2 linked regions of the Caenorhabditis elegans genome follow. The protein of the gene in region 2 interacts with the protein of the main gene of each other region in a pairwise test. Each region holds a gene or a part of one and is shown on either strand. Other genes may lie near its edges.

What was found.
Region 1: the proteins of cnk-1 (region 2) and H28G03.3 interact in a two-hybrid assay, tested with the Caenorhabditis elegans proteins (one large-scale study listed by BioGRID).

Annotation. Positions count from the first base shown.
Region 1 is NC_003284.9:5,224,357-5,228,113, forward strand, and holds the start of H28G03.3 (BZIP domain-containing protein), read right to left. Parts: upstream 2,010-3,757; coding exon 1,949-2,009; intron 1,897-1,948; coding exon 1,822-1,896; intron 1,272-1,821; coding exon 1,218-1,271; intron 937-1,217; coding exon 913-936; intron 625-912; coding exon 586-624; intron 1-585.
Region 2 is NC_003281.10:10,269,548-10,273,304, reverse strand, and holds the start of cnk-1 (Connector enhancer of kinase suppressor of ras), read right to left. Parts: upstream 2,049-3,757; 5' UTR 2,002-2,048; coding exon 1,920-2,001; intron 1,873-1,919; exon of another isoform or gene 1,830-1,872; coding exon of another isoform or gene 1,778-1,829; intron 1,565-1,777; coding exon 1,448-1,564; intron 1,397-1,447; coding exon 1,233-1,396; intron 648-1,232; coding exon 309-647; intron 1-308.

The DNA of each region.
Region 1 (3,757 bases), on a different chromosome or scaffold from region 2:
ATTTACCACGATGGATGTGATGGATTGATGGATCAATAAGATGCAATCGAATTATAAATGGTTCATCTAAAATATGATTTTTAGATGTTGAAGTCTTGAAAAGTTTAACTGGTTCATCAGAAACGTGATGAGATGTGTTCATTAAATTTACGATATTTAGTTGTGTACTCTACGATGTGATGCAAAAATTATGCTCATAAAGTAATAATTAAATTTTCAATTGTTTGATTTTTCTAGTTTATCAAAAGGCTGTTGGCAATATTGTATTTTCCATACTGTTTCTGACTTTAAGAGTTTAAACGTTAATTAATTAAAATTTTTGAAATAAATTTTTCAGTGTTGACGCTTTGGGATACAGAAATTTCAAACGTACCCATCAGTTAATTCTAATGCAAAATTAAATAACTTTCAAACTTGCATTTACTGCGGACACATTGACTTTTAGATAAATTTATATATATATGTTCAAAATCAAAGAGCTAACACATTCTGTGTAATTTCAAAACTGCAAAAATCGATTTTGTGTTGAATGGTGCTTTCTAGCAACTTGAAAATTTTGAGGTCATAGCAGTTGAATCAACTTACATTCGTGATCGGCTGGTGGTTCAAATTTTGGGGAAGTACCTGAAAAGCTGGTTTGACAAACTCAAACGACTTGGAATACATTTTCGTGCAAAAATCGAACGCATGGTACTCATGTAGTAGCCGTACCGCTAAACTTTTCAACGATTTTTCGAAAATTTACTGTGATTTTTAGAACAACTTTTTGTTTAGGTATTTTTGGCATAAAATGTAACTTAACCTTCCGTTTTTTTCGAATTGTCATTTAATATAGAATTTAATGAGTCATTTAATTTTGGGTTACTGCTACTACATAAGCATTGAAATAATCATTACAGATGGGCAACTCACTTTCATAGATGATTGGCGAGCGACCTGCAAAATGTTTTTAAAACTTATTGTAGCCGAAATAAGAAAACATTTTCTATGAAACTAGTTTCTGTGTAATTTTTCAATTGTTTTTCCGTTTTAGTTATTCTTGCTGAAACATATGCAAGGTTCAAATTTGTTTCAAAAATTGACAATTCACTAAGACTTCGCCTAAAGTTTCCTAAATGTCAAGAAGTTTCCGGTGGTTTCAAACTACAAGATTAAAAACAATCAGAATTAGTTGACCAATAATTCTTCAAAACAAGCATATAAATTAGAAAACTCACTTCTATTGGCAATCCTGTTTTCGTAACCGGGATTGTAGGTGGGCGAAGTGGTACCTATAAATTATGCACAAATTGTAATTTGGGTAACCGGGATAGAGCATGTTTTTGCGTGATTTCTTCAATAATTATTTTTTGAGATATTACCGTATCTAGCCGAATTTTTCAATTAATTTTTGATCAACAACTAGTGGAAAGTTTAGAGCAAATTTCTGTTAAAATAATGTTTAAATTTCGATTTTAAGTAAAAACTAACTCCACACTGGTTTTTTCATCAACTCGGCTTTTGCAGCGACATCACTTGGAGCTTAAAAGCAAATTTATGTAATCTCGCAAGAAATTGTAATCACCCGCAGCATAAAGTCTCATGGTTCTAAGCACTGTGAAGCTTAGCGGCACACCGGCGTCTTTCATTTTTCTCTCCCAAATTAAAAACAAATAAAAGAGTTTTTTAATGGAACGACGTCAAAAAATGTTTTGAAAAAATAAATTTTAACCCTTATCCGAACAATTTATAAAAACTCAATATACAAGTGATCCTCGTTTGATTTTTTAAGAGCGAAACACAATTTTTTGAACAGCAAGGATTTGACTGAAAAAATCGAACCTGCTTCAATTTCCTCCAGGTCCTCCTGCTCCAGATTTTGTTGAGGGTGATAGTCGACGGGTGATGATAGAGACTCTAAAATAAATACATTGAAGTTAATACAAATTAGAGAAATTTCAAACGGTACCCTGTTCAAAGTCCCCGTCATGTTCATGTTTTGTAGAATGTTGGGTTTCCTTTTCAGACATTGTTTCTGCAACAAAATTATTAATATGAGGCCCAAGTTTTTGAGATAAGAACATCAAAAATGTTAAGTACAGTGACAATATTGGCTCTTATGAATAAATTTCTCATAAATTTACATTTTGAACACTAGATTCCCACAAATAACTCTAAATTTTAAATAAGATACAGTTTCTGGCGGTCAACAAAAAAACACTCATCATAGCAAACATTCAAGGAATCTTTTTGCTCAAACTGAACTAATAACCAACGTTTGTTTTTTGAAAAATGCGGTAGTAGCATAATACAAACTAACGGCAATCGCAAGTTTTCAGCAAACAGAAAAATACTGAAATTTCAATATCCGAGATTCGGAAACTGCCACAATTGTCAAAAAATTTAATGGTCAAAGCATTTCGAATAGTCAAGCAATAAATTTATTGCGTCTCAGAGTTGCTAGGTAACGTGTATTTCAAATGTTTTTGAGAAAAAAAAAGATTATGAGGTAGAAATGGACTCTAAGTATTATCTTACACCGTTTTAATCTTTTCGTATCTGAAAAAGAACAGTTAATCCTTTTTGAATATCTTTCTAAAAAGCTTATACTTCAGCAGTTTTCTCAAATTGAATAGAAAAACGTTACTCATTGAAACAAATTCTATAACAGAATAAACTGGAAAGTGCTAAGTGTGACCGAGTAATTGGAGAACGGAAGAACTAAGTATTATTCAGCAAAAATAATTATTGTACTCCTTGGTTGTCAAAAATTGTGTTGCCCAATTTTACAAGTGCCCTGTTGAAAAATCACCTAATCTAAGGCAATTCCAAAAAAGTCTAGTAAATACGAAGATTTTCCCAATGAGTTCGAAATTTCATTTTTTGCCCTCTGGCGTCTTCGTATTGTCTCAGATACCGTTTTCATATTAGAAACTGGAAATCAGAAAAATATGTATTTCTTTAATTTATGTGCCGCACTCTATTGTCCGGTTTGGGAACATGAATTACCACTAGACATGTAAAAGAAATAGAGGCTTTTTTGAAAAATTAAACTGTCAATTCTGAGGTTTTTACAGTTGGCTCATATTTCTAAACAGGCAAAACGAACAGAGAAACGAAAGAAACACGTCTCTGTGTGGCTTTTTATGTTTATTTATTTAATTAATATTTATTTATTTGAATAATATTTATTTATTTATTTAATTAATATTTATTTATTTAATTAATTAATTTTTTTTTTGTTTAATATTTATTTATTTATTTAATTATTATTTATTTATTTAATTAATATTTATTTATTTAATTATTATTTATTTATTTAATTATTATTTATTTATTTGATTATTATTTATTTATTTAATTAATATTTATTTCTTCATTTCATTAATATTTATTTAATTCATTATTATTTACTTCTTTAAATAATATTTATTTAATTAATTAATATTTATTTATTTATTCATCGTGACGAGACCCATCGTGGTGAGACCCGTGGTGGTGAGACCCATCCTGGTGAGACCTATCGTGGTGAGACCTATCGTGGTGAGACCCATCGTGGTGAGACCCATCCTGGTGAGACCCATCCTGGTGAGACCTATCGTGGTGAGACCCATCGTGGTAAGACCCAAAATTTTGGCGGTAAATTTAAATTTTCTGAGAAAAATATTTTGGCGGGAAATTTAAATTTTCTGAGAAAAATATTTTGGCGGGAAATTCAAATTTTCTGAGAAAAATATTTGGCGGGAAATTAAAGTTTTCTGATTCTAAAATTCTGGAA
Region 2 (3,757 bases):
GCAGAAAAATCAATTTAAAAAATTTAAGAATCATAGATATTGTCTGAAGAATTAATTTTTTTAAATTACATTTTTCTGGCAAAAATCTGATTTTTTTTTAAATTGAAAAATTTTAAATCCGACATTTTCTGAAACTTTTGAAGCTGATTATTTTTCGATTTCAAGTTTTTTAATAAATATTTTTAATTATTTGAGAAATATTCATTGAAATCTTCAGAAACTGTCTGATTTGAAAAAAAACTTTTCAAATTTTTTTAAAATTCAAATTTTCAGTCAAAATATCCCATCGATAACCTAAAAATCCTCACCCTAACAATTTGACTTCCAGTCTCAAACAAAGCTTTCGGTTGTACATTAACATTTCTCAATAGGTTCCACATAAAAGAAGAAACACTATTTCTAACGTTAATAAATTCGGGTTCCTCGTCAAACGGAGTCCGATCAAGCCAAAAAACGAATCGTTTCGTGTGCTCGGCGAGCTGTAACACTGCATTTGACACACTATTCAGAATATTCACAATTTCCGATCGACGGATCGCTTTCTCCCGCATTCGCATCGCTGACGTCATCGTGCGTTCTACGTAGAGACACGAGGTTTTTACTTGTTGAGCCAGGCGTTGGAGATTCTCGTGTTCCGATTCGTGACACTGAAAATGAAAATAATTTTTAAAAATCAACAAAATTTCTGATAAAAAATCTTGAAAAATTAGACTTTCAGAGTTTTTTCTTGATGTTCAGGAGATTAGTACAAAGCAAGTTTTGAATTTTTCTGCGAAAAATCCAAAATTAGGCGGTAGGCAGGCAGGAATGCCTACTTTGGTTTTTTTTTCCAGAGTAGACAGAAAATCATTAAAACATCTTTGAAAAAATTGCGGAGAAGTTAGTAAAATTCAAAATCTCTTAAAAATCATTAAATTTTTAAAAAATCGACTGAAAATCCTAGAAAACTTATAATTTTTTACCATTTTTCATGATTTTTAGCAGCTTTTTCTGCACAAAATGTTTAGTTCCGATGGAAGTTTTTTCTCACTAAATAGTGGTTTTCTCCGAAAAGACACTTTTTTTCAAAAAAAAATCTTAAAAACTTCAAAAATTTGCGGAAAAGTTAGAATCTCTTCTGAACTTTGTGGAGCTTTACAGCTGATTTTTAGAATTGGTTGAAAATTCAGCAAAAACTGCTGAAAATTCTATTTCGAAAAAAATCCATTTTCCTGTTGAAAACTCCATCTTACAAAGTAGAGAAGCAACGAAACAGCCTGAAAAATCGTTTTCCTAGCTCCGAGAGCCGAAATGCCAATTTTTTTGAGCGAATCGTCGTCGAGAGCCTCCAATTGTTTTCCGCTTTTTATATTGTCACGAATCATGCCCAAATATGGATTCATTTGATCGCCAAGTCCTGGAAATTATTAATTTTTCAGTGAATATTTTTTTCCGCGGCGATAAAAACCTTCAATCCATCTTGCAATTTCTTTTCCTTTCCACTGCTCAACACATCGGGCAAACGAGAGTTGGGGCTCGTAGCTGGCGGAGAGCATCGGACTTCCCGAACGGAGACCGGATGACACTGAAATTTAAATTTAAATATTTTAATGAAGAAATCTGTTTTTTTTTCAGTTTTTGTGGATTTTTAAATCAGAAACCGTCCAATTTCGCTGGAAATAGCTTCATTTTCGTTTAAATATGTAAGGTTTTCTGGAAATATCGCCAATTTAATTGAAGAATCAATAATTTTTGTGGATTTTCCCAATTAAAAGTTTCGCAAAAATCAATTTTTTACCTGTTTCTGGTGAATTATGTTTTAAGCTAAGGTGCCGGGTTAGTGAGGACATTAAAGTCCTTGAAAAACAATTTTTCGAACAAATTAGTTTCTTCCCCGGCTACAGTATCCACGGTTACTGTAGCCGAGAAACTGTGCCCACCTGAACTAATCCCAGAGGAGATTCCCAACGCCTGTTTGGCTTCAAGTGGTGTCGACGGAAATCCCATTGTGGTTGAGAACATATTCAAAAATTCGGAACAATCACAACATTATGCTAGTTTGGCTGCAGCTGTAAGAATCCAGAATTTCCCAAATTAATTGTAAAAATTGAGGAAAAAGTGCAGAAGGTTGCATAAAATCAACAATTTCTTTTTTTAACTGAAAACAAACACTAAAATTGATTGATTTTTCGCGAAAAAGTTATGAAAATAAATGAAAAATCAAGTACAGTACTAATTAAAAACAAAAATTCCAAGAAAAAAGGAGCATTGCTCAATTTATCGAGCGGGTCCTATGGAGAACTCGGCGTACTCCTCTCGGAGGAGACGTGGCCTAGAATTCTCCTCGTCCCTGTCGATTTACGATGTGACACGGCCTCCACCACGAGAAATGCGCAGAGAGAGCGCAGAGAAAAAGGCGGTCTCTGCGTCTCTCACCTCCACAACATGGCGAGAGTGCGCGCTCAACCACCTCACTTAGAACGAGTCGGGAAGAAAGGAAATTGCATATTTCTGAAAAGAAACAATTGGAACGGATAAAGAGTACTGTCCTCTACAGTCTGGCATAAATTTCACAGAATAGTTTTGTCATTGAAATAAGTGAAGAGAGTGAACATAATATTACACATTCCCCTCTAAAACGAGCAAGTTTAAGATTTTTTCCCAAATTTTTTTTGTAAAATGTATTCAATATATTCCCAATTAATGAGTTAATACAAAAAAACCCCAATAAATAAGTTATGAGAGAAACTTTTTTTGACATCAAACATTTACAGCTCAAAATTTCAGCACTTTCCGGAAGATAGTGACCGTAAAATGAAAGATTTCAAAAATCGGAAACAATACGATTGTTCTAATTTTTAATACGCACATTTTAACATATCACACATAAAAATCCGTCAATGTTGAAAGATGTTATTTGATCTAGAAGGTTGACTACAGTACTAAAATGACCAAATTTTCAGGAAATAGTTGGCTTGGACTCAAAAATCGGAAACAATACGATTGTTCTAATTTTTAATACGCACATTTTGACATATCACACATAAAAATCCGTCAATGTTGAAAGATGTTATTTGATGTAGAAGGTTGGGTGCTTTGATACAGTAGTACCCACTCTACTGCGCCCTCACACTTTGGATGCTCCTATCTCCGCTCCTATGAAAGTTACAAAAAAGTTGTCAACTAACAAAATGTTCAGTGTGACATTGTGAACATTTTTTCTGTTGACAATATTTTTCTAACTAGTAAGACAAATTTTTTACAGGCCCCGAAAGCCGTATTTATGAGAAAATCAGAGATCAGTTCATAACTCAAAAAATAAAGACATTAGAAGAAAGTAGTCAACTACAAATTTGTTAGATATCTTATATAGAGTATGTTTCCGATAAAAAACTCAATTTTAATGTTCAGGATTTTTTGACATGGCCAGTTTAAGATGATCAATTTTCAAAAGTCAAAATCTATTATTTTTGTAGATAGAAATGTAGTTTTTGCTGGTAAATGTTGTTTTTTATCTGCTTAACATTTTCTCAGTTGAACATATTTTTGTATCTTCAGCGAGAACAGAGATTTGATGGTTTTAAGAGAGGGTACTGTAACTGGGACTTCATTCATCAAATCATAGCTATATCTTTTTAGTGGAACGAGATATCAAAAAATTGTCAACTAAAGAAATGTTCACCTATTTGTGATGTTCATTTTGTCAGTTCACCGCTAGTTTCTATCTCCAACGCGAAAAAAGTTGTAGTTCAAAGTCCATAAAGTACATACACTTCAC